2 linked regions of the Stegostoma tigrinum genome follow. The protein of the gene in region 1 interacts with the protein of each later gene in a pairwise test. Links are inferred from orthologs where the notes say so. Each region holds a gene or a part of one and is shown on either strand. Other genes may lie near its edges. The genes, in order: epas1b and basic helix-loop-helix ARNT-like protein 1.

What was found.
Region 2: the proteins of epas1b (region 1) and basic helix-loop-helix ARNT-like protein 1 interact in binary tests that used the Homo sapiens proteins (3 or more experiments, as listed by UniProt). The link is inferred for Stegostoma tigrinum from reciprocal best matches to the Homo sapiens genes EPAS1 and BMAL1.

The regions. Positions count from the first base shown.
Region 1 is NC_081362.1:68,835,190-68,852,098, reverse strand, and holds the start of epas1b (endothelial PAS domain-containing protein 1b), read left to right. Parts: upstream 1-9,988; 5' UTR 9,989-10,373; coding exon 10,374-10,399; intron 10,400-16,909.
Region 2 is NC_081370.1:38,022,969-38,039,913, forward strand, and holds the start of basic helix-loop-helix ARNT-like protein 1, read left to right. Parts: upstream 1-9,754; 5' UTR 9,755-9,957; coding exon 9,958-9,985; intron 9,986-14,238; coding exon 14,239-14,386; intron 14,387-16,945. UniProt on the Homo sapiens protein: Transcriptional activator which forms a core component of the circadian clock.

The sequences.
Region 1 (16,909 bases):
GGTGCTGCAGGGCTTCCTCAGAATGGTCTGACCAGGCCAAAGGGGGATAGAAACCACATCATCCACCACTGGCAGCAAGCAAATCAGAAACACAAAACTGTTACAGCCCAGAGGCCATTCAGCCCATCTTGTCTGCAGCGCCTTCCAGATAAGCATTTCACCTGATTTCATTCTTCTCCCCACAAGCCTTCACATTCTTCCTTTTTTGAATGATGATCTAATTCCCTTCTAAGTGCTTTGATTGAACCTGCCATTCCACACTATCAAGCAATCAATTCCAGTCTTTAACCACTCAGTGCATGAAAATATTATCCTCAAGTGTTTGATCAGAACCCTTGATGTCAGAACCAAGGTCTTCAATCCTTGCAGCCATCAACATCTAGAAGTAGCAATATAAGCAACCAATAACTATTTCTGCAGCAGTTAATACAAACTAGCCTGAAAGTAGTTGACGATCGCTTTAAATCGGGCCAGTGGACTGGACTTTTCCTGATGCTTTCTACAAATTTTTTGTTGTGATGTGGGCATTGCTCGCAAGGCCAGCGTTTATTATAAATCCCTATTGCCCTTGAACTGGACAACTTGCCTGACCATTTCAGAGGATAGTTAAGAATCTGTTGTTGAGCAAATATTTAATTGTGAGAAAATAGGGATTAATTCACATGAACTGAAGACTTTCAAACTGAAGGAGAATATCTGAACAAAAATCCACAATGTTTTGAAATTCAAATTTTGGATGATACATAAACCAAAGCCTTTTAAGAATTCCTTACCAATAGAGGGTAATAACTTTGAGAGATTTACTAGGATGTTGCCTGGTATGGAGGGAAGGTCTTACGAGGAAAGGCTGAGGGACTTGAGGCTGTTTTCATTAGAGAGAAGAAGGTTGAGAGGTGACTTAATTGAAACATATAAAATAATCTGAGGGTTAGATAGGGTGGATAGGGAGAGCCTTTTTCCTAGGATGGTGACGGTGAGCACGAGGGGGCATACCTTTAAATTGAGGGGTGAAAGATATAGGACAGATGTCAGCGGTGGTTTCTTTACTCAGAGTAGTAAGGGAATGGAACGCTTTGCCTGCAACGGTAGTAGATTTGCCAACTTTAGGTACATTTAAGTCGTCATTGGACAAGCACATGGACGTACATGGAATAGTGTAGGTTAGATGGGCTTGAGTTCGGTATGACAGGTTGGCACAACATCGAGGGCCGAAGGGCCCGTACTGTGCTGTAATGTTCTATGTTCTATATTCTATGTTTAGCGTGTCCAGGCCATGGTCATATAGTCTTTGAAAAAACATTGACCCTAATACTTTGCAATCTGGAAATTTTCCAAACTGGAATGAAAAAAGGAAGGGAAATAGTTCACTTGCAGAAAGGGCTTTGGAGAGCCACGTGTGAAAAGGTGTATGCTGGAAAGCATCAATTAATTTCTCTCTAGCAAAAGGCCAGAAATGGAAAAGTTTGCTGATGGTTACACAATGTTCAATCTCACTTAGATCTCCTCAGAAACTGAAGGTGGCTTTTCTGAGGAGATTCTTTTCTGCAGGACCCAGACAACTCAACTCTGTCTCCTCAAAACCTGTCTACAAGGTACAAGTCAGGTGTACAATGGAATAATCTCCACTGGCCTGGATGAGTGCTGTGGCAACAAAACTCAAGAATCTCAACAAATTCTGAACACTGAATCTGAATTATCAACAACCTTTCTCCTCCAGCACTCCAACTCCTCCCTCAACTATTGCTTAAATGCTGCCCCTTCCACACTTCATGTCAACTCTGGTGAAGCGTCATCTAGACTTAAAACATTAGCTTGCTTTCTCTCCATGGGTGCTGCCTGATCTCTTGCAGTTTTTGTTTTATGCAAGGCAGAGTAGTCTGCTTGACGGGCATCCCTTCCACCACCTCAAATATTCAGTCTCCCTTTATCACCAGAGTATAGTGGCATACATGAATGTAATCTACTTGATGTAAATATGCTAATACTCCTTCAACAGCATCTTCCAGGCCTAAAATCTGGAATGAAAAGGACAACTGATGCCTGAGAACACCACCACTTGGAAGACCCCCTCTAGGCACATACCATCCTAATTTGTGACCATGGGCTGAATCTTATTATCTTTATAGTGTCATTTTCGTTTAGTTTTATGGAGGATTTCTATCCATGAGGCTAAACAAATTTTCTCATATTATCTGAACTTGCCTGGAAAACTACTCACCATGCTTCTGTTCTGGCTGTCTTGTCCAATGTTTGTCCGTTTTTTCCACTCACTGTAGTTAGAAGTACTCACCACAGTGAGAGTATCTTGAGATCCCTGGTGCCAATGTCATTTTTAAATGGTTGTTGCATGTACACTCAAGAAAGCATTGGCTCTCCAGAGCTGTCCTGCATAGTTCATTGCATTTGCCCCATAGCAGATGAGGGGAAATTGGTTCCCCACTCTTGGCAGGGACCGGGGATCCAGGTGGATGGGTAGTATCCTCTTCTCACAAGACTGCCATAGGAGACCACAACACTAGACTTTCCATTGTAGTGTGTGGTTACCTGCTGGGTCAGTGTAATCTTAGCCCAGCGGTATAGGAAAATGATCAATTTCCTTCTCTGCTCCACCAGAAAGTGCCACCATCTTCTTTCTGCTACCCCATATTCACTCTGTCTCTGCTGCTGCACCCACCTCCCACCAAGGTTTTTCCCTCACTCACTATCACCTACCCAATTCCCCCATACTACTAACCCTGCACAGCCCCTATGGTACCTGTTCACTCCCTTGGGACAGCTCACCAACTTTCCCCAGCTTACGGTGATACTAACATCAGTGCCACCCACTTTCATCTCATTCATTCCTTGCCTTTCTTATATTCTATGAGCAAACAGCCCACAATATAGTAGAAGGAGTTAAGATAGGTGACATTTGGCCCCTCACTTCCTATGAAGAGACAATCGTGACTCTAATTGCCCTGGTGTCTCCTTTGACTTGATTGAGGACTACTCTCTTAAGACTCTGAAACATGGCTACTTACTTAAAATGCATGTGATATGTTTCTATGGATGCTGCTGGTACATGGTGCACATATGGGATTGACAATAGCATGGTGCTATACACCAACATGCCCAAATCCCTTGACTGATCACTGATAGCAGCCATGGCTTCCTGGCGTTGCGTCTGTGTGAAAAGGCAAGTGAAGACTGTGTACTTGTTAGCTCTAACTTAGGGGGCATACCATTGAAAGGGAAAGCAAGAGTGGAATGCTGCAAGCATCATTTATTCATTCACAGGATGTGGGCATCACTGGCTCAGCCAGTATTTATTCCCCAGAGTGCAGTTAAGAGTTAACTGTATTGCTGTCATTCTGGAGCCGTATGTAAGCCAGAACTGCAGTTTCCTTCTATAGAGGGCATTAGTGAACCAGATGGGATTTTCCCAACCATTGAGAATGGCTGCAAGGTTATCACAAGATTCCTAATTCCAGATATTTATTCAATTCAAATTCCACCATCTATCATGGCAGGATTTGAACTGAGGTCCCAGAGCATGGGGTTATTGGATTAATAGGCCCAGTAATAATACCACGAGGCCAACACTAGATGCTAAGTGAGTGAATGCTAAGAAAATGAGCAAGCAGCCCTGAGATGCTCTCCAGTGCAACTGAGAGCTGGCCACCTGGCCTTATGTGGAGAGAATCCTTGCAGCAGCATTCGAATGAGAGGTACCACTGTGCTCCAAACTGAAATACTGAAATGGAGCAGTGTATTGTAAGAGTGTCAGAAATATGCCATGATGGTGTGGAGAGGCTGGCATTTACCAGATGACAGTGCTTTGGATGTGGAGTGTGTGCAGCTCCAGAGGTGTCAGTGGCAGATGAAGGTCCAGAGGAGCAAGTAAAGACTTGCAGTTCCTGTGCCCTTGCCCTGACTTCCATTTCAGGAATTCTCAGCATCCAGTTTCTTTCTGGCAGGTGGCAGAATAAGGGAGTGAAAATGAATGAGGCAAATCTCGTAATAATGAGGGTGATAATGAGCGGTGATCCCCATTAATTGGTCTCTTGCTACTCACTAGTTGGAATCTCAACATCTGAATCTTTGTTGGAAAATGAGACTTATTACTACTGATATTGAGAAAGGCCTAGGCCCGAAACGTCAACTTTTCTGCTCCTGAGATGCTGCTTGGCCTGCTGTGTTCATCCAGCTTCACACTTTGTTATCTTGAGAAAGGCCTTGTTTGGCTTCTCGTGCAATTCTTCCAAGTTTCCCATCACAGCCCACACCTTTCAGGGTCTGGGAAGACTCTGCTGATGATATAGTTCCTTCACCGTCACTGGGTCAACATTCTGCCACTGCCTTCCGTACAGAACAATGGATTCACCTACTAAAAACAGCCAAAAGAACTGTGGATGCTGTAAATCAGGAACAAAAGCAAAGTTGTTGGGAAAGCTCAGCATCTATGAAGGAAAACAACAGAGTTAAAGATTTGGGTCTGGTGACCATTGCTCAGAAGTCTCAAAGGATCACTGGACCTGAAACATTAACTTGGATTCACCTACTAAATGGATTGTAATGATTCAAGAAACCAGCCCACTACCAGCCACTTCAAGGGCAATTAAGAATGGACAATACAGCCTGATCTTGCCAGCTATACTCATCTGCCGAGAATTAATTAAAAATGAAATGTTCCTGTACCTTGCATTGCCGTATTTAAAAGCACAGCTCAACAATTGAATAAACCTGTTACAGAGACTGCAGATGCTGGAGAATCGGTGATAACAAGGTGTAGAGCTGGGTGAACACAGCAGGCCAAGCTGCATCAAAGGAGCAGGAAAGCTGATGTTTTGGGTCGAGACCCTTCCGCAGAAATGGGGAAGGGGAAGGGAATTCAGAAATAAATAGGGAGAGAGGGGAAGGCAGATAGAAGACGGATAAAGGAGAAGATAGGTGGAGAGGAGACAGACAGGTCAAAGAGGTGGGGTTGAAGCCAGTGAAGGTGAATGTAGTTGGGCAGTCAGGGAAGGGATTGGTCAGTCCAGGAAGGATGAACAGTCAAGGAGACGGGATGAGATTAATTGGTAGGACATGGGGGTGGGGCTTGAGGTGGGAGGAATGGTTAGGGAGGCAGGAAAGAGCTGGCCTGGTTTTGGGATGTGGTCGGGGGAGGGGAGGTTTTGAAGCTTGTGAAGTCCACATTGATACCCTTGGGCTGCACGGCTCCCAAGCGAAATTTGAGATGCTGCTCTTGCAGCTTTCGGGTGGCATCATTGTGGCAATGCAGGAGGCCCAGAATGGACATGTCATCCAAGGAGTGGGAAGGGGAGTTGAAATGGTTCATGACTGCGACATGGAGTTGCTTGTTGTGAACCGAGCATAGATGTTCCGCAAAGCAGTTCCCAAGCACCTGCTTGGTTTCCCCAATGTAGAAGAGGTCACGACGGGAACAATGTATGCAGTATACCACATTAGCAGACAGGCGGGTGAGCATCTGTTTGAAGTGAAAGGTCTTTTTAGGGCCTGGGATGGGGGTGAGAGGGGAGGTGTAGGGGCAGGTGTAGCACTTCCTGCGGTTACAGGGAAAAGTGTTGGGGGTGTTGGGGCTGGAGGGGAGTATGGAGCGGACAAGGGAGTCATGGAGGGAGTGGTCCCTCCGGAAAACAGATAAGGGTGGGGAGGGAAAAATGTCTCATGTACCACCCCAACAACCTTCGAATCCAATGCATCATCCTTCGACACTGCCGTCATCTGCAATCTGACCCCACCACAAGACAATTTTCCCTCCCCACCTTTATCTGCTTTCTGGAGGGACCACTCTCTCCGGGACTCCCTTGTCCACTCCACACTCCCCTGCAGCCCCACCACACCCGGCACATTCCCCTGCAACCACAGGAAGTGCTACACCTGCCCCTACCCCTCCACTCTCAGCCCCAACCCAGGCCCTAAGTAGACCTTCCACATCAAACAGATGTTCACCTGCACATTTGCTAATGTGGCATACTATATCCGCTGTTCCTGTTGTGGCCTCTTCTACATTGGAGAAACCAAGTGACGGCTTGGGGACTGCTTTGCAGAACACCTATGCTCAGTTTGCAAAAAACAACTGCATTTCCCAGTCACGAACCATTTCAACTCCCCCTCCCACTCCTTGGATGACATGTCCATTCTGGGCCTCCTGCAGTGCCACAACAATGCCACCCGAAAGCTGCAGGAACAGCATCTCATTTTTCGCTTGACTGCCCTACAGCCCAAGGGCATCAATGTGGACTTCACAAGCTTCAAAATCTCCCCTCCCCCGACCGCATCCCAAAACAAGCCCAGCTTCAAAATCTCCCCTTCCCCCACCGCATCCCTAAACCAGCCCAGTTCATCCCCTCCCCCCACTGCACCACACAACCAGCCCAGCTCTTCCCCTCCACCCACTGCATCCCAAAACCAGTCCAACCTGTCGCTGCCTCCCTAACCTGTTCTTCCTCTCACCCATCCCTTCCTCCCACCCCAAGCCGCACCTCCATCTCCTACCTACTAACCTCATCCCAACTCCTTGACCTGTCTGTCTTCCCTGGACTGACCTATCCCCTCCCTACCTCCCCACCTATAATCTCCTCTCCACCTATCTTCTTTTCTCTCCATCTTCGGTCCGCCTCCCCCTCTCTTCCTATTTATTCCAGAATCCTCACCCCATCCCCCTCTCTGATGAAGGGTCTAGGCCCGAAACGTCAGCTTTTGTGCTCCTGAGATGCTGCTGGGCCTGCTGTGTTCATCCAGCCTCACATTTTATTATCTTAGATTCTCCAGCATCTGCAGTTGCCATTATCACCAGCTCATTCCTGCCTCCCTAACCTGTCCTTCCACGTCAATCTCCACCCCCATCTCCTACCCAGTAACCTCATCGCACCTCCTTGACCTGTCTGTCCTCTCTGGACCAACATATCCCCTCCCTAACTCCCCACCTACATTCACCTTTACTGGCTCCAACCCCACCTCTTTGACCTGTCTGTCTCCTCTACACCTATCCTCTCCTTTATCCATCTTCTATCCGCCACCCCCTCTCTCCCTGTTTATTTCAGAATCCCCTTCCCCTCCCCCATTTCTGAAGAAGGGTCTCGACCTGAAACACCAGCTTTCCTGCTCCTCTGATGCTGCTTTGCCAGCTGTGTTCATGCAGCTCTACACCTAGTTAGCTAAGTGAATAAACCTGACTTGTTTTCAGCACTAAACTCTGGTCTCTGCGTCTGAGAAATGATTGAGTCCTTGGCTTGCTTCAGCTTGTTACCCTGAGACACATGCTACAGCGAGGTCTGATGATCCAAGGAATACAAGTGTTTCCCAATACCTGAATGTATTTAGGCCATGAATATGTGAACGTTATTCACAAATACATGCATTTAAATGAAGAATTAAACTTTTCCTCAACATGCAGGAAGCAATTGTAACCTTGCAGTCAATGCTTTTAAAGGCCTAACTTCATGGTGGTATAGTTAATTCCTTTAATGTTCTTCTCCACACCTAAACTCTATGAAACATTTTCTGGGAATCCTTTAATTCCTGACACTAGTTTTCTTTCCACTATCCATATTGAGGAATCCTATAATTGAACTAAATCTTCACCTTACTGCAACTTGGGAAATAATTCTCAGTCGCTCATCTAAAAATAGCAGTATAACTGCAGCCATAACTTTGTCCTAGAAGCTATTAATAGATGATAAATCAAGATTTATATTATTAAAATTCCCATGATATATGAAGGGATTTCCCAGCTCTTAACTGTTTACTGGAACATTTTTTCCCAGAACTTCAATATTACAGCAGATCATTCAACAGTTACAATACAGATCCTCATTCAAATATTTTTACATACCCTTTCAGGGAGACTCAGTACATCTTTAACTGTTACACTTAATGCCCTTTGTTCTGAAGCACTTTAGTAGCTATCTGGGGAGAACCCAAAACCTTACAGAACAGGCCAAACTCAAAATGTGCCAATCTGCAGTCCTCACTATCCTCCATGAGGCACTGGCTCAAGTGTCCTAAACAGCCAACATGTACATCTTCCAGAGCACTTCGAACAGTGTTGCCTTCATGATATCCTCAGATCCATTAGCAGGACTGTATCAGAAACACTGAAATCCTGGAGACAGCCAGCATCACCAGAATTGAGGCTATCCTTCTGCAAAACCAACTTTGCATTGGTCATGTTGCCTGGATGGACAACAATTGATGGCATAAAATTAGGTTGTACAGAAAGCTATCCATTGTAGCAGGAACAGAAGGGCCCACTTACAACCATTTCTAGTACTGCGTGGGGAAGTCACAATCTATTTATCACACTGACTATTGCTAGTGGGTGGAGTGGGTCATAGATTGTGATGCCTAGACTTGCTTCATCAGGAATGCTACAGCCACCTTTGGAACTGAGCGTAGAATTACCAGGAAAGAGATAAAGAATAGATCCAATTGTCCCCAACAGTGACTACACATTCATTTGCATCTGTGTGGGAGAATTTGCTGGTCACAGATGAGACTGACGCCACCAGCGAATCTGTATCCAATGGATAGTCTTTCCTCACGAAAAATTGCCAAGCGACAGTGGACCTTTGTAAATCGGTCTCGGACTGCAAGTGCTTTGAACCTGAGTGGAAAACAATTCCAACGCAGAATACTTTCTAAAAATATTTCAAACGGATCTCAGAGCAAAGTTTTGGGAAGTAAAAACCGAAAGAAATACAGATGCTGTAAATCAGAAACAAGAACAGAGGTTGCTGGAAAATCTCAGCAGATCTCGCAGCATCTGTGCAGATAAAATCAGGGTTAACGTTTCGGGTCCGATGACCCTTGCCCAAACTCGGACCCGAAATATTAACGCCGATTTTCTCTTCACAGGTGCTGCCAGACCAGCTGAGCTTTTCCAGCAACTTCTGTTTTTGTTTCAAATATTTGATAAGCCTCTCTCTGGTGTAGGAAATATTCAGAGCAGTAGAATAAACCAGGTTGAATTTTGCTGAAATGAAAACCGAAGTATGTTTAGTTTGAAGACTACTAGGTATGTTTTGTTTATCAATTCCAACGCCACCGTTTTCATACTTATTGTGCTGGGAATAAAGTCTTTCAGTTATGTGGTTGGAGAAGTTGGGTTGATCTCCTTGGACAAAAGGTTGAGAGCACATTTGATAGAAATGCTGAAGATCATAAGTGATTAGAAATTACTGGCCAGAAAGGATAAAGAAAGAGGATACTGATTTAAGACAAATGACAATAAGGTCCAAAGTGACGTGAGGGCAATAATTTTTAATTCGCCAATTGGTGAGGACCTGGAATGCACGTCGAGAAATGTGATGAGGACAGATTTCGTTGGGGAATTAGATAAGCAGCTGAGGAGACGGAAGCAATGCAGGGGCAGTGGGGAGGAGCGGGGGCAGGAAGAAAGTGGAGCTGTTGTAGTAGGTTTGACAGAGGTCTAGCACGGAACCCACGGGCCGAATGGCTCTCTGCTGTGCTGTAACCAATCTTCAATTATATAGTATTTAAATACTGATTCTGCGCTGGTGATATTTTTTAAGGAGCACCGATGGGAAATATCTAGGGAGTTCTCTTAACTAGTGTGTTTAGAAAACGTTATCAATTGAGTGAGATCCTCATGAGATGAAGAAGCAACTGGAATCCATCCGAGGACCATGTTGTTTGGCAATTTTTTTATTCCCTTGTCTAGTTTACGTGTAGTCAGGCAATTTCGTCACTAGTATTTCTTTCCAAGGAAATCTTTTAACAGATAAGAACTTGTGAACAAAAAAAATTATGTAACAAGGATGGGTGCTCCTACCCCGTCCGCTCCCAACTGTTCCGGCAGAGAGAGTGGGGAAAAAAGCCCCAAAATGACCCAGATCGATGGGCGGGGCGGGGCCCGGCCGCAACCTATCGCATGTCGAAAATCCATTTACGACCTGTCATCTGGCCCAAGAAGGACGAGAGAGAGAGAGAAACCCCGCCTTCAGCCGAAGCTTGAACCTCCCGCCCCAGTACGAGAGTCTAACAGCGAAACTTTTTCTCCTGCCTGTCCTCTTTATAATTGGTCTTTGCCTCGAAGTGGCTGTACAATCCTCAGCAGTGTTCTGAGACTGTACGGTCGCCTCTCGTTTCCGGGTTGCTTCATGATCTCAACTGTTTGACCCAACTAGGCATTTAAAAAAAAAGAAACCCACATGAAGAGATAAGCGAGAGAGACTGACAAAGCAAAGAAAAAAAAGCTTCGTGAGCAAGGCAGAGAAAGTGGAAACAAAAAAAATCAAATTATGCTTCTTTCTATCCGTATTACACTGTAAAATTGAGCCTCCGGTTGTCAACAGCGCTTCTCGGTCTGTTTTTCTTTTGCTTCTGTGAACTTAATCGTCCAAACCATGACAGCAGAGAAGGAGAAGAAAAGGTAAGAAATGACATTGCATTTGTTCTGATGAAGTTAGCAATAATTTATTTCTGATAAGGTGCGGGCTGATTTTGTCCATATCATTAAAAAGTTCTTGAGGGACTGGACTCCACACCTCCGACATTCGGCGTAAGCTGACAGGAGACGGGAATAGACGAAATGATCAATAATTAACCGTTCTCCTTGTTTTTGATTGGGGCGCTCGGGCTGCGTTCTGAAGTGTTGACAGCTTGCCTGTCTCTCGGAGGCTATCAGCTGCTACCTGCCTGTAGACAGACCTGGCTCTGAGGGCCAGCAATGTTGGCAATACGTCCCTCAAAGCCTTCCCCAAGGGCAAAACCCAGAAGGGAAAAGTTGGCTCAAACTGAGCGAGTGGGCCTGCGCTGTTTAAATAGTGACCTATTGATCGATCAATGTTCTCCTTCACCTGTTTACATTGCCACTGCTGCGCAGTGTATCATCAACAGGCAGGCGAGGCCTGGCCGACAGACTAGAGGGGGCAACTCTGTGGTCGGGCATGTCATCTCCCCGATGGAGAACTCGTACCGAACAGCAACTTTATCGAGGTTATGAAGCTTTTGCTCCCGACTACTATGGTACATTTGCGGCTGCACTAAAAAAAAACCGACATTTCCCCTCCTTCCTCTCTTTCGAGAGAACCTTTGCATTTCGACAGAACACGGAATTTTACAGCAGGACTTTTATAATATAACGGTGTGTTGTTATTTGCAAGGAGAATAATACCCTCAGAAACTAGTCAGCCTGCAAATGGCTATTGCATTCATCTCCAAATGACTAGAGGTCGGCTGGAATTGAGTGTGACAACGCGCCCTGAACGACAGAAGCATCAGACAAGCCTCTGTACAGCCCACATCTGCTGAAGGTTCAACATTGGATAAAAGCAAAAACACAGACATGCAAAACAAAGGATGCATAGATTGCATCCAACACCCCCTCTCCCCAACCCCCGCTCGTGTCCTGGGCATTTGGAGAGAGCTGCTGGTTGCACCTAAGGAGTGACGTTGGGACAATTTGTTGGAGTTGGTGGCTCTGGGTAGTTTTGCTGAGTGAAATGGCGTCCCTGAGGTAGAAAGGACTCACATTGTCAAGGTGCGGCTAGCTACTGTTAATACTTGAGCGATTTCAACAGCAGCTTTACCGTCAGTGTGTGGGTGAAAGGCAGGGTCTGTCCTGAGGCTGGGTTAGAATCAGAAACAGATTAAATGCCAGTTGAAGTTAGACGTAAGCAGAATGTCGAATATGGTACTCTTAATTAAGGAGTTTGCCTGTCCAGAATTACTACTTCGTCGTGAGGGCGGAATCAGGAATGAGATTCACTGTTTGTGATGGCAGTTGACCTTAACCCAGTCCATGCAAGCCCAGTTGGTAGTTAGGAAGGCAAATGCAATGTTACCATTGAAGTGGGTTAGAATACAAGAGTAAAGATGTACTATTGAAGCTGTGCAAGGCTCTGGTCAGACTGCGTTTGGAATATTGTGAGCAGTTTTACTCCCCATACCTAATGAAGGATGTGCTGGTGGTTGAGGGGGTCGAGATGAGATTTACAAGAATCATTCCTGGGGATGAAGGTCTTGTCTTATGAGGAGCAGTTGATGTTTCTGGGTCTTTACATCATGGAGTTTAAAAGGATGGGGGTGGGGTGGGTGGGAACTTGGAGGGGGGATCGCTTATTGAAATTTACAGAATATTGAGAGGCCTGCATAGAATGAACGTGGAGAAGATATTTTCAGGAGTAGAAGAGAGTAGAAACCGAGAGCACAACCGCAGGGGATAGGCCTAAAGAGAAAACCTTTTAGAACTGAGATGAGTAGGAATTTCTTCAGACGAGAGGGTGGTGAATTTGTGGAACTCATTGTCACCAAAGGTTGTGGTGCTGAGTCATTGAGTGTATTTATGACAGCCATAGATAGTAAAGGGATCAAGGAAGGAAGACAGGAGAATGGGAACCAGAAACATATCTGCCGTGATCGAATGGTGAACCAGACTCACTTGGCAGACTGGCCTAATTCTGCTCCTATATCGAATGATCCTCGTCTTATAATGTGTTGACTATACCCCATTTACTAAGCATATCACAACGTTTTGAGGATACAATTTAAAACGGAAATTGGAACAATCATAATGAGAAATTACCTGACAAACGTATGCATTTGAAGAAGCTTCGCTATCCGTAATCTGGGTTGGAAAGCCTCTAAATATTGGGGAGCTGTGTTGCTGGGGTTTGGGTCGTGCCAATCTATTCCAAATAGATAAACCATGAGGAGCGCAATATGTCAACACATTTCTGATAACGCTGGTGTGCTGTTGATGTTTACTGAGTTATAGTCATATGTACAAGGCAACTTTTGTTTAGCCAATAGGCTTTTATTTATTTGACAGTTGCTGTTAGATTTTGCGTTATGAATTGAAAGGCTGTAAAGACTGACTTGTGTCCTCTGCGCATTCCTGACGAAATTCATATGTTCTCAGAGACTGGACAGTCCCGCTTCCAACATTATTTGTAAACGCTTCAATAAAACTGATTTCGAGTCGTGGCGGATTTTTTTTTAACAGGTCAGGACTAGTTTTGGCGTTCACAGAAGAGGGAGAGAGAGAGCAAACGAAACTTTCTCACACTGAGCAGGGACTGTGACTTTTTAGTTTGTTATCCTTTTCTGTTCGATGAGGGCTAATGCTTTCAGTGGCTTGGACAGCAGGTGGTTTATGTTTTGTTCTGTTTTATGCCGGGAAGACCGAACTCCGCAGTTACCTTTAAAGACGGCTGGTTCAGTGCAAGTTACAACACGTTATAACGCCGACATGAGTGATAGGACGATTGTAAGTGAATGTGTTGGGGCCGCTTAGCTCCGATGGTTCCGAGTGTGACAAAGAGTGATGACCGCGGCGTGGGTTCGCTCCCTGAATCGGCGCTTGTGTAGGGAGCCTCTCAAACCCTTATCCAACTCATTCAGTCTCTCTAATTGATAACGAAGACTGGCTAATGTGTCTCAGAGCAAACGGGCCTCAATGCCGGCGTTCAATACGAAGCATCCCCTTGAGAGATTTAAACCTAATTTGTGTTTACTTTCTGTTCAAAATAACTACAGAAATACCACGTCCTGCTTTTTTACATGTAGGAATCCAGAACAAAGTTAGCTAGCAGCAGGAACGCTTTTGGGGCGCTTTCTGACCATGATTCTGACTTTAAAAATCGATTTGAGTAATGAATATATGCAATCTGCAGGTTGTTTCCTTTGTAACACTTTCTACAGAACGCCCTTTGCTGACTCCTGCACACTTGACAACAGCCAAAAAATGGGTTTAAAGTCCAGCTTCATTATGTTTCCAGTCTTGAAAGTAAAGACACTACAGGTCCATTCTGACGTCCCCAAACTCCCCCACACCCCCCAACTCCCACTGACCCGGTGGGGTTCAGTGGACTGTGGGGTGACTAGAATGGTGTTTATTTTGCCTATCCCATGTAAAGGTGCCAAGTTGGAGCGCGTACACCTTACTGAAGTTTTATTATTTTACCACATACCTAACCTGCCACCATAGATGCACCAGAGATAATGGGAACTGCAGATGCTGGAGATTCCGAGATAATAAAATGTAAGGCTGGATGAACACAGCAGGCCAAGCAGTATCTCAGGAGCACAATCAGAGATGAAGGGTCTAGGCCCGAAACGTCAGCTTTTGTGCTCCTGAGATGCTGCTTGGCCTGCTGTGTTCATCCAGCCTTACATTTTATTACCATAGATGCACGTGTATGTTTGTCAATTTTTTTTAAAAAAAATTGAATTATTATCGTCACATGTACATAGGTACAATGAAAAGTTTCGTTTTGCGTGCAGTGCAGGCAGATCAAAGCATACAAGATGTATAAGGGTAATAAAACAGAACGATGAATAAAATGTTACGGCTGCAGAGAAGGTGCATGCAAATATTAGCAAGTTTGCAATTGGGCAGAGAAGGTGCATGCAAATATTAGCAAGTTTGCAATTGGTAATTTGTGCATGAAGACAGGGACAGTCCAGCGTCTAGTCGTCCCTGGAGTGAGATCCACCGTCACTCCTGACCCGTTTAGTTCCAGCTTGAAGCTCGCTATTCCTATGAGCCTGATCAATTCTTTCTCAATATCCTTGTTCAAATAACGGTTGAAAGCGGAGCTTTGAACCCTATGTTTTTAAACATTGAAACATGTTTGCTCGAGACTGAGATTTCTAGCAACTATTCACAGTTTGGCAAATCTGTGGTAGAAGACGCAGTCTCACACACAACTCCCGAAAAGCCGCGGGCCCATCTAAATCACACAGAATAAAATGCCTGTAATCTGTCACTTAAACGTGCGTTCAGAAATTAAACTCTACTATTTTGGAAATCTGAAATGAGAACAAGCAACATCGGGTAGGAAAGATAGCCTGGAGATATTTATATCTCGTCATTCTTGTACATATACTTACAAAGGTTGCACAAACTAAATATATATCTGTATATTCACATATAAATTTTACCCATTTTCTGCTTGAGAATACATCGTTGTGATCAAACTGACCGAAGTGTCGGATTAATATCCGACTTGTTAAAGCTATATTCTGGAGGTTAAATTAAAAACAGATTGTAGTTATTTTGAAAAGGAAATTATTTTCTGGGATGTTGGTAGCCCTGCCCGGGCTGTTTTTGCTGTGTATCCAGAGTTTACCGATAGAGCGGAGTTGTCTCTCATAGCGACTCCAGAGAGGGCGTGAATCGTGGACCGGTGTCAGACTTGAGATGCGTAGCCACTTCCCCTGTTTCAAGGACTTCTACATTTCCTCATTTTAAAAGTTGAAAGCCATACGTACGAGACAGCACCTGTCCACGTCGCATTAATACGGAGAGGTGACATGGGCTTCATAAGGAATGTGTTGAAGTTACACATTGTGTCGTGTCATTTTGGTCAATTGACAGCGTAAGTGCACTGGACTGAAATCTCAGCTGGGAACTGTGTTCATAACAAGCGAGTGACACAAGGATCGCGATTGTGGTGCGGCTCGAGCTGGCCTTCAAGCAAAATTCCATGTTAGGCCTCGTAAATTCACTCTCAACTATCCAAATTTCCCATGCAGATGTTATGTTTGAGAGATAGGCAGTGATCTGCAAGTGGGAGTGAAAGAACGAGGGTCGGCAAAAGTGAATGGCTGCAGTGGTAGCTATTTGGTTGTGAAGCGGATAACAAGTGATCTGCATAAAAACACTCCCATGTTTTCTTATGTTCAGTAGGTGCTAGAATCCCATGATGAGATCACTAAGCTGTTATTTTGAAATATGGACATGTAACAAACAGGTAGATATTTCACAGAAGTGAGCAGCGCACTGCCACCATGTCTCAATGTGCTGGTCCCACAGCAGAATGACTGAGGTTAATAGCCTCAACAATATTTCTTATGTTTAGTATTTCTAAACTTGTTTATATAGAAAAAAATGAGAAATAAACATTTCAAATGAAAGCTAAAGCATAAATGTAGACATTATTATATTTAACATCCTGTAAAATCCTGTGAATGTTGGACATCTGAAATACAAACAGAAATTGCAGTGGAAACACAACATGACTAGTAGCATCTGTCAAGAGAGAAACAGAGTTAATGTTTCAAGTCCAATATCAGTTTTCTTCAGAGCTATTATTGTGTTACTCAACTACGATGACTGCTTTCCAGCTTTAAGATGTGATTGATGCTGTTAGATTCAGCCCAACCAACTTTTCTCTCGAATCAAATAGTGAGGTTGTGATGTTCAGCAGCAATTACACACTTCAACACTCATATGAAATGGTTTTCTTCACTCATTTAAAATGATTGCTTGTAGTTTATGTTGATGAATTAAGTTCCAACTTGATGTGCTTTCAGACCATTCACTTACTTAAATGACCCAGAACATTTTACATGAGAAAAGGCACCGAACAAAGGTTAGGAAGAATTAGGGGAAGAGACCAAAGTTGAAGAGGTAAATCTTAGCCAGACACTTTGAAAAGCAGAAAGAAATAATTAGTTTATGGAGATTATGTAGGAGAGTGACATCATGGAATTTTAGTGAAGTACTAATTCGAAGGGATATAAAGGAGGTCAGAGTTTGAAGAGCAGTCAGCATGTAGAGATAATCACAGAGTGGGGAAAGCATGTGATCAGAGGGTTTTGCAGACCAGGATCGAGTTAGAGGCTGAACAAGTGAGGAGCAGGTTATAAGCATCAGAATTGTGGTAATGTTTTGTATGGTGGAGTTTCCCGTCACACCTGTGTAGGGCATTGATTACTTCTAGTGGTTTTTCTCGTAAACTGGTAAGCTCAGGTTTGTGCACATTTGCATTATTGCTGGAAATACTGATAGGAAGACATTTCAAAAGAAGTGATCCAGGTGACTGAATTGGCCCATGCTAGATCAGACCCAATAACATGGGAGTTATTTGATCCCAGCATTGCTGCTCAGATCTCAGAATGGGATTTTGCAGTAGCAATGGAAGTAATAGTGCTG
Region 2 (16,945 bases), on another chromosome or scaffold:
TTATACAACAGAAAAATAAAAATTAGAATTACTGCCAGGTTATGGGTCTTCAGGAATGTTCTGTGCCTTCTTTGTCAAATGTTCTGTCAGGTATATTAACTAATTGTGTCGTAGGTATCTTTGTCTTAGATAGGGCATTCTCTAAAACTTAAAGAAGACTGCGAGAGCCAGCAATTCTCTTTTGAGAGCTGAAAGCTGCTAACTCTGACAGATGGCAGTTTGCTCTCCTGTCTTTGCCCAACTGCCCTTTCTTTTATAATCTTGATGACATGCCGATATTTGTGACAAAGGATTGGTCCTGTGGTGTCAAAAGCATTAAATTTAAATTTAATTGGAGTTTTGGTATCAAAGTGCCTGGTTCAAATTGATTGGCTAAATTCAAAACGTGTTGTTTTGATAAAACAAAACTGCTGCTTGGGCTGCAAACTGTACTGCCTTTTGATACAAATATGTTTCCATTCAGGTCCTCTCTGTGCACCTACAAACCCACAAGCTACTGCCCAGTTATCATTTTTGAATCTCTAAGCATAGAAAAAGCATATCATCCTTTAAAGGGACCCTGCAAGTTTTTTTTCTCCCCCCGCCCTAGCATTTTACCAACACCAAATTCTAATTTTCTGCCTCCCAATCCACAAGTTCTCGACCCAAAAATCACAACACCATTAGCACACACCCTGTATTTCTCTTTCTCTCCTGGCTTATCATCAGCCATCCCTTTGCTTCTATATTTTACTCCTCTCGGGCTCTGTGCACCGTCTCAATTTTTTCAACTCACTCAATCAACCTATGATCAGCATAACATCACGAGTTCCCTCCTGCTTTCACTTATGATGAAGGGTCTTTGGATTCAAAACGTGAACTCTGTTTTTCTCTTCATAGATTCTGCCAGACATACCGAGTTTCCCCAGCACACGCTGTTTTAATTACAGGTGTCAATCGGGTCACCTCTCAGTTTTGCAGCATGGGATAAATTTCTGGACTGATCCCAGAGCCTAAAGATTGGGGGTCACCTGACGTGAAACGTTAACTCTTATTTTTTTTCACAGATGCTGCCAGGCCTGCTGAGCTTTTCCAGCACCTTCTGTTGTTGTTTCCTAAAGATTATTCAATTGTAGCAGTTTTAAGATTTTGGTTTGGATGTAGAATTAGAGCAAAGCACAACACAGGCAATCAGTCTATTGAATCTATGCCTGTTCTTTCCGAGAGTTCAGTCCACTACATTTTGTTTGATTATTGACAATTTACCTAATTGCCTTTTGCTAATGAACCTGTGCTCAGCGTCCCATCACCGAATTCTATAACCTGACTGGGATGTTATTGTTTTCTGAATAGTAGAACAGGCACCAGCCCTTACTTCCCCTATGGACCCACTCTGACCTTTGCTGCCTCCAATCCACCTCTCCAGCTGGAGTTCCTTCATTTGTTTTATCCATCACTAACAACGCCCTTCTGCAGCCCGTTGCTATGGCGACCACCGCCGCCGCCCGTTCCCGAGCCGGGATGGAAAGGAAGCCCCGATTGGTCGACCCAGGACAAACGAGCCGTCTATGCGAGCTGTACTCCAATTGGTTTAACTTCCGGCTTGTTGATTGGTTTATTGTCCGTTTTTCTAACAGCATCGCCAATCACCGCGTTGTAACGGTTCTGATTGGCCCGCGTCCGACGGCGACCGGGTGTCGACTGGTTCGCCCGAATAGGGCGGGGACAGAATTCCACTTCTCCGAAGGTGCGGCTGGCGGTTCGGTGATCCGATTGGTCAATATGGCAGCCACGCGTGATGATGGACAGGAAGGGGCGGGATACCAATGGATTCAGGTCAGTGGTTACGTCAGTGGCTGGAAGTAGGTCAGTGGAACCTGGGTTGCGATATCAGAGCGGTGGGTGTTTGGTGGCTGTACTGTTGTTGCAGCGACGTTTAGAAGCTGGTGACAAGATAGCACACCCGCAGAGGGGAACGCCTTCCAGCATCCCGTCTATTGCAAGGTGAGTGACCCACTGCCGCAGCTGAAGCTGCAGATATTTCTTGGGCTTGGGCTTGAATACTGTCTCTACATCTGCAGGTTTATCCAGTTTGCACTCACCTGGAACTAGAGCCAATGGATCCCCCCCTCGTCTCACTTCATTTCCCCCCCCCCCCCCAAATCACCGCACACGTACCTCCGACAATGTATTTGCACCTTTGCAGACATTGCTTTCAGTTCGAAAAAGGCAAAAGAAAACAAATCGGAGCACATTCGTGCTTTTTCCCTTCCTGTCTTAACCAATAAGCCATTTTCTCTCTTTTTAACAGTAAACAACTTTCAACTTGCACCGCATCATTCAGAAGCTACTTTGTGCAATCATGCAATTTGCAGTGGTGCAAATGCCCTCTTTTTCTGCCGATTGTGATTTTTGTTCCGTTCTGTGGTCTGAAACGGTGTGAATGTGCGTGTGTGTCTGACTTAGCAGTCATCGGTGCTGGGTTTGCCGACCAAAATCTCTTACTCCCATCAATACTTACATATTGCATCCTTCCTGCTCACTTCGCCTTCGCCATGCTGGCCTTCTGCTGAATAGGCCTAAAATCAGGAATTCCTTCCTTAAAACCTTAAAAGTGCTGCCTGCCTCAGCACTTCTCAAGGCATTTCTGAAAACTTGGATTTTCTGATAGGTGACCAAATGACCTATCTTAATTACTGACATAATTTTCATTTAATACTACTGCTGTGGTGTGCCTTGAAACTTTTTACTCTGTTAAAGATTTTGCATGCGTGCACATTGTTGCAGATCAAAGGGACTTTTTGGATTGGTGTGACAAGAATAAAATGTATGTGCCAAAATCAAAAATAATCAAGTGATGTTGAAAAGTGACTCCATCAGTTTTTAAAAAAATGTGGAAAAGTTTGCATTTGGGATATAGACTTTTTTTAAACTTTATTTCTTTCAAGGGACATGGGTATCCCTGGCAAGGCCTGCTGCCCACGATTGACTCGCCTTGAACTGAGTGGCTTGTTAGGCTATTTCAGAGGGCAGTTAAGAATCAACCACGTCTTTGTAAGTCCGAATCACACGTAGGCTATGTCAGCTAAACAGAGCAGATTTTCTACCCTGGGTAAAAGTTCATTTAAGAGCCTTTTTTTTTGTTTTTGAAAATTGGTGAAAGTTGGTACTGTTTATTATTATTGACACCACTTTTATACGGCAGGTTTATAAACTGAATTCAAATTCTATCAGTTGCAATTGAGGCATTTGAACTTGTGTTCCTTGGAACATTAACTGGAACCTTTGGATTACCAGTCTAGTGACATTGCTGTTATGCCCTTTTGTGATCTGTAGTGTGCTGTGCCTTGTGTTAGAATTGCTTTTCCAACCATGTTTTTCTGATTTTTTTCAACTTGAAAAATGTTAATAGCTATAAATAGCTCTGGAAAATGGCAAATGCCTTATTTTACATGTTTGATCTTCATAAGGTTAATATCATGTTTTGTATGCTTCCACATCCCAACCCCCCTTGCCTGTAAACATTTGAATAGCATTTCATTTACTACATTGTAAACTTCAGCTGCTTTGACCTAATAACCTGGAATATGTCCTCTAAACATGTTCAGTTTCATGCCACTTCTCTTTTAAAATGCTGTAAAGCCTGTATTTGATGAGGATTTTGGTCCCATGTCATTGATAACTCACTGCGTGGTTTTGTATGAAGCACTTTATAATGTCCTACCATTGTTATTAAGTATGTTTCTTGTATTTGGGGCTGGTATTCTAAGACTGTGTTGTGCAATTCTGCTCATTTTGCATTGTGATCTGAAAATATATTATTTTGAATTATTTATGGTTATTGGTTATGGATATTTGGTATTTATGGTTCATACTTTGTACAAGGTGCATCTTTGCTGCTAATGCCTACCTTAGCATTTATATCCGGTCTTTGTATTTCTGTACGAAACACCTTGTAACCTTCTGTGTGTCAAACTATTTCACAATCATGGTGCAATCAGAAATGTTCTGATTTCTGTATGTGTTAACCGAGTGGGATTTTTCCTCTCGTTTCTATGTTATTGATATTGTAATAGTGTCCTCTGACCAGCTTCTGCAAGAGAACATTCACAATTTCTGTTCTAATAGTGATTGAAGAGAAATATTTTTTATTACATCTGAAGTACTTCCACACCCTGCTAAACAAAACACTGGTCATCTTGTTAAAGATTAAAGTCATATTTCTAAACAGTTTAAAATTTGTCTGTCTGTGTATCAACCTTAATCAGAGGAGATCATTTCAGCTAGTCCATCATATTTCAAAGAAGTTATTTGAAGAAGGTAAATTTCTGCTTGCTTTGTACAGTTTCCCTCCCTGTACCCTCAAACAAGACTGGGCACTCAAGCAAGTTCAAGGTGGTCTTAGTTATGGCCATTAGGGGCTGCAGTCAGTCATTGTTACTTGACGTAAGCTAAGGTGTGTTTTAGTTTCTGGGACAAAATCTGGAAATCTGAAGTCTTCTGCAAAGGGAATTTCTAAAGCAGTTTGAGTTGTGACCTTAAAAGGTGCAGAAAATGTTCACAGTCAAATATCCATAACCACAATAAAAAACACTGATACAGTGCTTTCGTGGCAATTGAGCTCTTTACAGATAGGTTTTAAAGTGTAGTTGCTGGTTTAATGTAGGCAAAATGACAGGCTATTTGTGCACAGCAAAAATCCACAAACAGCAATGTGATAATGAGCAAGTAACCTGTTTTGGCGAAATGATTTGAGGAATGGATATTGGCCAGGACATGGGGGAGAATTGTTTTGCTGTTCAAAATGATTTGACGTTTACCCAAGCAGACAGGTTAATGACCCATCCAAAAGGGACCATATCTCAGTTCTTTGCTGGAGTGTCAGCCTTACTTTTTGTTCTCAAGCCCTAATCTGGACATGGAATTTGGCGGCAAGGATATGACCCACAGAATCAGAGGTGACACCGATCTCTGGAGGGTGCGTGACTACACAGTCTTTAAAATAGATCGAGGTGTCACTAGAGTAAAGGTTTTTAAAATTTATTTTGTGCAATATCAGAGGGTAGATGTAGAGAAGATGTTTCCACTTGTGGACAGCAGAACTAAGGCCATATTTATAAGATAGTCACTTATAAAACTAATACAGAACTTACGAGAAACGTCTTTATCTAGACACACGTGGAATTCCCTCGCGAAAAGGGCATTTAGTGGAATATAAGCACAGTACATGTGATTAGGAGTATATTTCTCTGCTGTTCAGCCTGCTGTGTTCCAGATGATCCTAACATGGTAAACATATGAGGGAGAAAGGAATAGAATGACATATTGATATGGAGGAGTTTCTAATGGCTCACAACACTAGCATGGACCATTTGGGCTTACTGGCCTTTTGAGCTGTAAATTCTATGTCATTACATGTTTTTCTGTGGAAGGTCAGTTATTAATCCTAGTCCCACACTATATCAACTCAATCACCACCTCCCCAAGATTGCTTCTCCTAGCAGTGCTTCCTCTGGCCACTTCCTTCAGCTGTTGCACTTTTCTATGTAAGTAGCCTGTGCATTTTACTTTTTAACCACTTGAGAATTAAAAAAAACAAATACAAGAGGTCGGAGTAGACTGCAAAGCCTGTACTGTCATTAGTAACATCATGGCAGATCTTGGACATCAACTCCACTTTCCCATTCACTCCACAGATCCCTGGATTCTGAGAGATTTATATTTATTGTTTTCTTTTTGATTATAGCAGAACGACTTTCCCATTGCTAAAATTTACTGTAACTTTCCTTTGTGTTTTTTATTCTTTCTTTTAAACACTAATCACCACCAGTAACTGCACGTGTAGTTAATTAAATATTTATATGCAAAGCCCATTATGGACAATGTGAACGATCAAAAGTGAGGGAGAGAGGGAAGGTGCTAAGAGATTTGCCATTATTTAACATCTTTCTTGACTTCAGGGAATTCTAAGGCACTTTACAGCTGATGAAGTATTTTTATAGCCATTGTTATATCATGTGATTTGTGTGCAGCCCCCTCCCACAAACAGCGTTGTTATAATGATGAGAGAGTTTTGGTGAATTTGGTAAAGGGAAGAGTATTGCCTTCCTAAATTCTTACTGGACTAACGTCCTGAATCTTTTGCATTCAACAAGAATGTTGCTTTAAAGCATATCCTGTAATGATTGGGACCTTAAAGTGAGTATTCCTTCAGTACTGCACTGGGAATGTTACTGTCTTTTGAATGGAGTTGGACCCACAGTTTTCTAATTCAAAGCTAAGAGTGTTATTCGTTTAGCTGCAGCTGATCTGCAGGATTGATGAGCCTCGATTTGAATTGTGTAAACCCAAAACATAAATGTTTCCTGCATCTCTGCTGCCTGACCTGCTGTATTCCTTCAGCTCCACGCAGTGTTGAGTCCTGAAAGATGTTGCAGCTTCCTGCTCCAGTTTGTTTTGTTAAGAAGTTGAATGATATAGTGTGGTGAGGGAAATCGTAGTGCCAGATGAATTGACATAAAAGTTATCTCTAAGATATTTGTATTAATATTATGCATTAACATTGCCAACCCTCAGTACTGTTTTCCAGTGATGCCCATTGCTTCCATTTTGCCGAGCAATTTCTTATCCATTTTTCTGGTTTTCCTGAGTATTCATATTTATGAAGGCAGTGAATAATTTGAATTCTGGATGTGTGGGCAAGTTTGATGTGGGAGTCGGAATGTCATTCTGAAGAAAAAAAGCTGCACGTTAAGTTCAAAGATGAGCTGCATTTGATATTTTCAGGGAAATGCTTGTAAGCTGAGAAATGTTCCCATTAGTTATGATGTTTGATGTCAGCCATGGCTCAGGAGGTTACCACCACCCCCCCCCCCCCCGGCTCCTGAGTCGATAGGTCACTCCCCGGAGATTTATGAATACAAACATCTTGCACATTTGTACTGACAGAATGCAGCGCTTTTGGAGGTTTCATCTTTAAGAGGACACTCGCGGCCTCTGCCTCTCGGGTGGGGGAATAAATTCCATGGCATGTTTCCAGGAGCCGCATGAGCATGCTCCCTGTTGTCCTGACCAATAGTTTAACACTCAAGCAGTGCTTACAAATGCAGAAGGCTGATTATCACAGTGCTTTTTGTAGAAACTTGCTGTGTGCAAATTGACTTCTGTATTTCCTACATTGCAACATTTCTGTCATAAATACAAATTTGAAAAACTGGGCTCCAAGGATTGGGGAAATTCTGTTCCACCATGGACTTTAATTTGCAAATGTCCTGTGGTTGTTAGGATTAGGCACTATCTCTCTCCCTAGTTACTGCCCCACTTATTTGACTCCTGTACCTACTTGTGAAAGCACTGATTAGTCGTTGATTTTTTTCCAATATGTAATAATCTGAGAACTGCTGAATGTCTTTCCTTTGCTTGCAGCGCATGTCTACATCATGAAAGCTTGCGCACATCACAAGGTAGTTGTTAAAAGTGAATGAGATTAAGCATAGACTTTACATTTCTTTAGGTATTTCACGCTTCCAGTATTATCTGCAATCATCTTGCTTCCCTTTTAACAGAGCTTCTTTGAAATTGTTGCTCATAGGAACAGCATGAAGTTGTCCAGCCCCCAAAGCTGTTCTATTGTCCAATTGCATAAGAGCCTCTCCTGTAAGCTTCATTTATTCTTATCCAACAAAATCTAACTGTCTCTGTTTTGACATTATGAATGGACCCCCACCAGGCCCAGCACCCTTTAGAGGTGAATTCTGAGTTTCTACTGCCCCTATTTTTTATTCTTTTGAAGTGAATCCTCCTGCTTCACCTCTAAATGAACTGGTTTAAGTTTTAAGGTGATGCCCCCTTGGCCTGAATTTTCCCCCAGCAAAGGAAATAGGTTTGTAAAGGAAAACCATCAATTTCTTCCAGTATCTGAAACATCTGAAGTACAGCTGTATTGATTTTCTCTGGTCAAGGGAATTCAGACCTGGCCTATTGTCATAATTTAGTATCATTCTGATGAATCAGTGCTCCTTCCCGGGCAAATGGATTCATTCTGAAGTACAGTGCTTCTAATGGAATCTACACTGAGTTCTCTCTAAATTCCATCATAATGTCAACATTTGTATTTCAGGCCCTTGGAGACAAGAAACAAAATTGATGAAAATGTCATTTTTTGTACTACTCTGAAACATTTAATGATTTCTGTGCACCCCAAATCTCACTGTTCTCCAAGTCTTCACTAAGTTACTGTATCAAATATTTTCATAAATGCTGCCTCCAAAAGGTTACTCGCCAGCCTTTTCTAACCATTTTTTTCCAGATAGACTTGAACTCTTAATTCTGGTAATATGTTTGTATAACTTTAGTTTTGCAACTTCCCTGGGGCCTGTTAATCTAATTTTATAATGCAGAGGTCTCTGCATAGTACTCTACATGTGATCTAACAAAGTCTTGATGCCAGCTTAACACATCTTCTCTGCTTTTTAGTTGTCTTCTTGGAAATGAACCTCAGTGCTTTGTTTCCTTTTTCCATGGGCCCCCTTATCCTGCTTTGCTACTTTTACTGATTCTTTTTTTCTTGTGTATCTAGACTGAACTGTGTCATAGGGCTCTGTCCTTGGGCCTCTACTGTTTGTAATTTTTATTAATGACTTGGACGAGGGAATTGAAGGATGGGTCAGCAAGTTTGCAGACGACACAAAGGTCGGAGGTGTCGTTGACAGTGTAGAGGGCTGTTGTAGGCTGCAGCGGGACATTGACAGGATGCAGAGATGGGCTGAGAGGTGGCAGATGGAGTTCAACCTGGATAAATGCGAGGTGATGCATTTTGGAAGGTCGAATTTGAAAGCTGAGTACAGGATTAAGGATAGGATTCTTGGCAGCGTGGAGGAACAGAGGGATCTTGGTGTGCAGATACATAGATCCCTTAAAATGGCCACCCAAGTGGACAGGGTTGTTAAGAAAGCATATGGTGTTTAGGCTTTCATTAACAGGGGGATTGAGTTTAAGAGTCGTGAGATCTTGTTGCAGCTCTATAAAACTTTGGTTAGACCGCACTTGGAATACTGCGTCCAGTTCTGGTCGCCCTATTATAGGAAAGATGTGGATGCTTTGGAGAGGGTTCAGAAGAGGTTTACCAGGATGCTGCCTGGACTGGAGGGCTTATCTTATGAAGAGAGGTTGACTGAGCTCGGTCTCTTTTCATTGGAGAAAAGGAGGAGGAGAGGGGACCTAATTGAGGTATACAAGATAATGAGAGGCATAGATAGAGTTGATAGCCAGAGACTATTTCCCAGAGCAGAAATGGCTAGCACGAGGGGTCATAGTTTTAAGCTGGTTGGTGGAAAGTATAGAGGGGATGTCAGAGGCAGGTTCTTTACGCAGAGAGTTGTGAGAGCATGGAATGCATTGCCAGCAGCAGTTGTGGAAGCAAGGTGATTGGGGTCATTTAAGAGACTGCTGGACATGTATATGGTTACAGAAATTTGAGGGTGCATACATGAGGATCAATGGTCGGCACAACATTGTGGGCTGAAGGGCCTGTTCTGTGCTGTACTGTTCTATGTTCTATGTTCTATATCTTTGAGTGTAACATCACCTGTCAAAGCTCATTGTGTGAGACAAGGGTTAATTTAGCAGTGATGGTGGCACTGATTCTTTCCTGAGCAGCTGATTCATCTGACCTACTTTAGGACTGACCTTGATTTATTGCTCAGTAGAGGTGTTAGCCCCACGATATAATCAGCTTTGGTGTATGATTAAGCCAGTCATGTGACTGCTCCTTCAACAATCGAGCGATGAGAAAATCAGGCCTTGCTGCGTGAGTTCCCTTTTGCAAGTCTGCTGAAGGTTTGATTGCTGTGTGAATTAGCAGAAAGAGAAGGGACAGCCTATGAGATAAACTGTAGCGTTTCCACGGCACCACAGTTGGCATTTGCTCAGATTTCACAAAAGAAGTCGCCTGTATGGCATGTATTCAGACGGCCTTTAATGTATCTTGGCAACACAAATGGCTCTGGTAATTAGTTTTTTTTAAACTTCCTCCAAGCTCCCTGGCATATTGTTATTCAGAATCCATATTGAGTGTGTATAGCTTATGCAAGAACTTTTGAGTACTGCCGTAGTAATACCATAAACTTAGTGTACGAAGCTGTCCTGAAACATGCGTTGACATCATAAATACAGGTGTTTGATTCAATTGCTATGAGGTTAACTTGAACCATAACAATGCGCATATGTGAATGCTGAAAATATGAAGTTTAATCATTCTTTCAACAACATTTTTCTTGGGATGTGTGTGGATGGTATGTCCAGCATTTATTGCTCCTCCTCAGTTATCCCTAGTGGTGATAACTGCTGCCTTGAACCATTGCAGTCCATGGAGTGAAGGTGCTCGAATAGTAGATAACAAAGTGTGGAGCTGGATGAACACAGCAGGCCAAGCAGAATCTTAGGAGCACAAAAGCTGATGTTTTGGGCCTAGACCCTTCTTCAGAAAAGGTGCTCGAATAGTATTGCCTGACAGAGAGTTCGATGATTTTGACTTTGCAATGATGAAAGAGCAGCAATACACAGCAAAGCCACAATGGTGTGTGACTTGGTATTCCCATATATTTGCTGGTCTTGTCTCTCCAGGTTGTGGAGGTCATGGTTTTGGGGGAACCTGTAAAATCTATACGTCTAACTATGGTTTTATGGTCTGTTTCTGAGTTCACTTCCTTTGCAGTAATAAAGTGTAGTTTTTTTCCAAATATCATTAACTGTTGCATTATATGAACAGCCAACTTCTTTTTCTTTGTAATCAACTATCCTCTTGAATGAGACAAGTAATTTCTTCAGCCAGAGGCTGGTAAATCCATGGAACCCATTTTAGCAGAACACTGTTGAGGACAGGTCATTGAGTGTATTAAAGACGACAGATAGGTTCTTGATCAGTAAGGGGATCAAAAGTTATGGAAAGGAGGCCGGAGAATGGAGTAGAGACACATCAGCCACGATTGAATGTTGGAGCAGATTCAGTGGGCTAAATGGCCTAATTCTGCTCCAATATCTAATGGTCTTATGCATGTCAGCTCTCTTTTTGTCTTATTTTCCCTTCACTTCTGAGCCAGTTGTTCTATGTGCAAACAGCTTTTGTTGTTTTTTATCTTCTCCTTTGGTTGATATTCTCACTGTCAAACTCTGATTGGATTCCCCATTGCACTTGTCGACTAGAACTTGGTTGATTATCTCTTGGCAAGAGATGAATTTCCCAGAAATCTTCTGGAAAAGGAGGATAAGAATGGTGTTTGTCGTTACATCCGTCATCCAGCTGTGCAAAGTAGTCCACACGTCCCTCCCTCCAGTCTGGTTAGATATGGTGGATTAACCTCTGTTGGTGCCCACCTTCTTGGACCAGTTCTGATTGATACTTATTGTTCAATCTGGGGAGAACAGTACCTGTTTTCAAAGTCTGCAGCATTATAATCAGTTGTAGGACATCCTCTTAAAATGAATAGTTGTTTCCCCGCATAGTGAGGGAACTTCCTGTGTAGTAGGTTAACAATAATGTAGTCTTGGTGAAATTCACAAATCACCAGAATTTCCCAGTTTAATCTTCAGGATAGAAATGTGAGCCACCTCGTAGAAAAAATAACCAGAGGGACAATAAATTTATAGTGGAGGGTGTTGAGGGGACAATCGGGCATAGGAGGAAGAGGGACGAAGGATTCTGAATAAGGTAACGAAATATCTGTTTATTTTGGCTGGCGAGACATAGTACTGCCAAGGTGTGCATGTTGGGTAACTAGTCATGAAAGCTCCAAGAATGGACCCAACCAGACTTTGGTTCAAACAACCTTTTCTATCCTTGCACTCCAACACTGGCCCCTTCCATCAGGTATGAGCCATGTCAAGTTACGTTGAAATCTGGACTAATGATATTGACAATGCAATTTCAGATCCCACCATAGTATTCTGAGAATTAAATTCAATTAAAACAATAATCAGGATATTTTTTAAAAAACTGGCCAGTCAAAGTGTGCATGGACTATTGTAAAAACGTAACTGGTTTATTAAAGGCCTTTAGAACGGAAGGGAACTTGTCATTCTTGCCTTTCTTGGTGTATATGTGACCCCAGTTCAACACTATGGCAGTCCACTCTAGTTGAATGTATTTCAAGAAGCTTAAGCACACGCCCTTTTGCCCCCCCAGTTGCCTTGCCTACAAACTCTAATTCCACACTAACTGCCCTCTGAAATGGTTTGGCAAACCACAGTCATATGCCAACCATGCCAGGGACACCTACATGCTGAGAATGAACCAACAAAATGTTTTGTGCTGCTGTCCTTCATTATTAAAATGGTATCCAGAAGCCTTCAATCTGAATATACTAATTTTCCACAAATTGTCTAATCACTGATTCTGTCCTCACCCTGGTATCTACATGAGGTTTGACCAAGCATTTATGTAGGCTTGGTATCTTGCATGACCCCTAGCTGAGAATTCAGTTTACTATCTCAACAACACCAATGATAATTAGCTTAGAGTTACAGTCATACAGCATGGACACCGACTCTTCATTCCGACCAGTCCGTGGCGACTATAATCTCAAATAAATTTGTCCCATCTGCTTGTGCTTGGTCCATATCCCTCCAAACCTTTCCTATTCATGTACTTATCCAAATGCCTTTTAAGTACTGTGTAACTGAACTCGCATCCATCACTTCGTCTGGAAGCTCATTCCACACGTGAACTATTCTCTGCATTTTTAAAAACAAAAGTTGCCCCTTGTGTCATCTTTAAATCTTCCTCCACTCACCTTAAAAATGTCCCCAGTTCTCGAAACCCCTACCCTAGGGAAAAGACACATGCAATTCACCTTTTTCTATACCCTTCATAATTTTATAAACTGCCATAAGGTCATCTCTCAACCTCCTACACTCCAGTGAAAAAAGCTCCAGCCTGCCCAGACTGTCTTCGTAATATGAACCCTCCATTCCTGGCAACATCCCAGTAAATTTTCTGAATCCCCTCCAGCTTGATAAAATCCTTCCTGTAACGGGACGACGAGACATAGACACAGTACTCCAGAAGAAGCCCTACTGATGTCCTCTACAACCTCAACATGATGTCTACTTCTGCGTTTTATAATGTTGTCTTCATCCTCCCAGCTTCAGCTCATCTGCTGTTGAAGCTGTCAAATGTCTCCCCTCCAGATTTGACTGTTCTGAGCCAATGTTATGCCCTCCTTTGCCTACTTCGCAATAAATTTCATTCATACATCATGTCAGCGCTTGCTGATTGATATGGGTTCTCAGGCTAGCCAAGCATCAATTTTAAAATTCTCTTGTTCTGGTTTGCAAATTTTTCTACAACCTCACCCCTCACTAGCTGTGTAATTTCCTCCAACCCTGCAGTCCTAGATCTCTACACTCCTTTAATACCTGTCTCTTGCATGTTGCCAATTTTAATCACTTCACCATTAATGCTTGCGCCCTGACCCAGCTGGGATATTTCCCTAAAATACTCTTAGTGCAAGTTGTTGTTCATGTCCTTGGTCAATATTTGTCTGTCAATGCCTAAAAATAAATTATTTGATCATTTGCACACTTGTTTGTGAGGAAGTGTGTGTAAGTCACTTGTCACATCTCCTAAGTGAATGTACTTCAATAGAATGTTTTATTCATTTTATAAGCTTTGCAATCATCTCAGGGCTGTGAAAGCCATGATATCAATACAATTTTGGAAGGAAGTGGGACATTGTTTTATGCAGGTAGACCCTAAGGGTAGCTTTGATTCTCCATTCACATTGGAAGATGAGACAATCATTAGATATTTAACAGCAGCATTTGGCTCATGCTAATATTTATGCAGTTGTCAGTTTATTGCCTCATCCAAAAAAATGACACCACTGACAAAACTACACTCCTTCAGTACTTGGTGGAAATATTGATCTAGATTATACACTGTACACCCAGCCTGGCAGGGGATGTGGGTTTTACCAATTTGATTCCTCACATAATACACATTCTTGGTTTCAAGATATTGTGGTTAGGTGATGCCAGGGGAGTCTTGAAGCACTTTTTGGACCTTGGAGCTGAAAGATGCGACAATTGCGTGCCCTGAACACTCCTCATCTAAAATGGATCGCATGATCAATTTGTTTTTTTTCTATGAGGATAGCTGCATATTTTTTGACAGAAGTTGACAGGGGGGTGGGGAATGCATGACAACGAGGTGGTCTGTTGACCTGGAAGGTAATTGTAATTCTGTACTTCACAATGTTCCAGATTGTCCAATGGCAGACCAAAATATGGACATTTCCTCAACAATAAATGATCTTATCTCGTCGGATCCAGCTGGATTAATATTGAGCTCCTTGGGCACAGCAAGCATGGACTTTAACCGGAAGCGCAAAGGAAGTTCAACAGATTATCAGTAAGTTTTTAAATAAGGGTGGCTTTATCTTCGGTTTGACAACTTCTTTGCAACACATCCTCGATTATAAAGAGGGAATTTATTATCCTTTCTTCTAGAATCTAGTTGATTTGTCTTTGCTGCTCAGTCTGTTTTGTCTCTTTGAGATAGGATGGACAATGTTGTAGATGTAGAAAAGAGTGAGGAATGTCAAGTTGATTGCATGGGCATAGGGGCTGTGTAGGATTTGGTATTTGGGAATTTGGAACGATGTAAATATATAAGTTTATTTCAGGCTTTTTTTTTTGTTTGTTTTGACTATTAAGTGGATCATCTCCATTCCAGAACCTTGAGCATTTCACTAAGTTGACATTTCCCTTGCTGGTATCACCGCAATCAGAAATGACAGCTGTAAACGAAAACGTGACTGGAAAAGATTCTAGGTATTATTGTGAAGAAGTGAAAGGAAGCTCTCCCTGGTGTCCTAACCGATTTGAATCCCTCCATCAAAATCTCACACAGAACAAAAACCATCTGGTCGTTGTGCTAATTAGCCACTGTTTCTTATATTGCAACCCTACCTACACTTCAAAAATGACTCTAGGCTGCAAAGCCCTTTGGGATATTGTCAAAGGCACTTTTTTTGGTTTTTCTCTGTGACTCTGTTCTGCTATTTGTTTCTTGGAGAGAATAGCCTGAGGTATTCTTCAGTCACATTTAATTATGGCACAACCAAAGTAATTTATGAAGCTGTTGAAAGTTTTTAAAAGAAGACCATGGCAGCTAAGATGATACCACCACTCTGAGTAGAGGAAACTTAGAATTGGGGAACAGTTTGTTCTGGATGTTAGTTCACAAGTAAGCCATGCCATACCACACCAGACCATTGTCCTGTGTATGTTGCATGAGTAACCTTAAATTTTATAAACTGTGAGATTCTGTTGTCAGAATAATTAATTTTGATTGGTCATTTTTCAAGATTGCATCTTCGATATGTGCAATTTGTTAAGAACTGATGTTAGTCATTCATGGATTCTAGTTTGTAACAATTGGATTGGATGCCAATTATTCCTTTTGTACCCGCACTGATTTTTGATGTAACACTGTCACAGAAGAGCTTTCATTTATATTGTAGTTCTTTTTCTATGTTTCCAAATGCTCTACACCCAAGTACTTTAATTGAAGCATAGCCACTGTTGGTTTTAGATGAAGGACTGGCGATAAGGACATGTTACCTGCCAGGTCTTGGCTGATGTCGTCCAGGATTTTATAAGAAGTAGCTGCTGAGGTAATAAATGCTCTGGCTTCAAGTTTCAAAGACTTGCTACGCTCTAGGAAAGTTTCGCCAGGTTGGAAAATAGTGAACGTAACTCCTCTATTCAAGAAAGAACAGACATAGAAAGCAGGAATCCACTGGCCAGAGCGCTTAGAAACTATCTATGATCAGGCAGAGTCAACATGATTTTATGAAAAGGAACGTGAGTGATTGATATGAGGTAAGTGTGAAGCTGGACGAACGCAGCAGGCCAAACAGCATCAGAGGAGCAAGAAAGTTTGACGTTTCGGGTTGAGACCCTTCTTCAGAAATCGTAGAGGGGAAGGGGATTCTGAAGTAAATAGGGAGAGAGGGGGAGGCAGATAGAAGATGGATAAACGAGAAGATAGAGTGAGATGAGACAGACAGGTCAAAGAGGCAGAGTTAGAGCCAGTGAAGGTGAATGTAGGTGGGAAGTTAGGGAGGACGGACAGGTCAACAAGGCGGGATGAGGTTAGTGGGTAGGAGATGGGGGTGGGTCTTGAGGTAGGTCAGTCCCCACCTACACTCTCTCCTTCACTGGCTCTCACCCCGCCTCTTTGACCTGTCTGTCTCCTCTCACCCTGTCTTCTTTATCCACCTTCTATCCGCCTCCCCCTGTCTCCCTATTTATTTCAGAATCCCCTTCCCCTCCCTCATTTCTAAAGAAGGGTCTCGACCCGAAACGTCAGCGCTCCTGCTCCTCTGATGCTGCTTGGCCTAATGTCTTCATCCAGCTTCACACTGTGTTATCTCAGATTCTCCAGTATCGGCAGTTCCTACTATCTCAGTGATTAATATGTTGGATTTCTCTGAAAAAGTAGCAAACAGCAGGGATAAAGGGGTAGCTGTGAGCTTGCTGTATGTAGATTTCTAGAAGGCATTTGACCAAGCAGCACATTGAAGCTTACTACTCAAAATAAGATCTCATGGCATTGGGAATAACATATTGGCATGGAAAGAGAATTGGTTAGCTAACATAAAATAGAACAGGCACTAACAGATCATTTTTGGGTTTGGCAAGATGTGGTAAGTGGAGTGCCAGGAATCTCAACTTAGATCTCAACTATTTACAATTATTATCAACGAATGGATGAACAAGGAGTGTATGGCTGCTAAATTTCCTGATGACACAAAGACAGGTAGGAAAGTATGTTGTGAGGAGGGCGTAAGGACTTTACAAAGGAATATAGATTGGTTTTGAGTGGGTAAAAATCAGCTAAATGGAGTAAAATGTAGGAAAATGCAAACTCCTCCACGTTGGGAGGAAGAATAGCACAGCATGT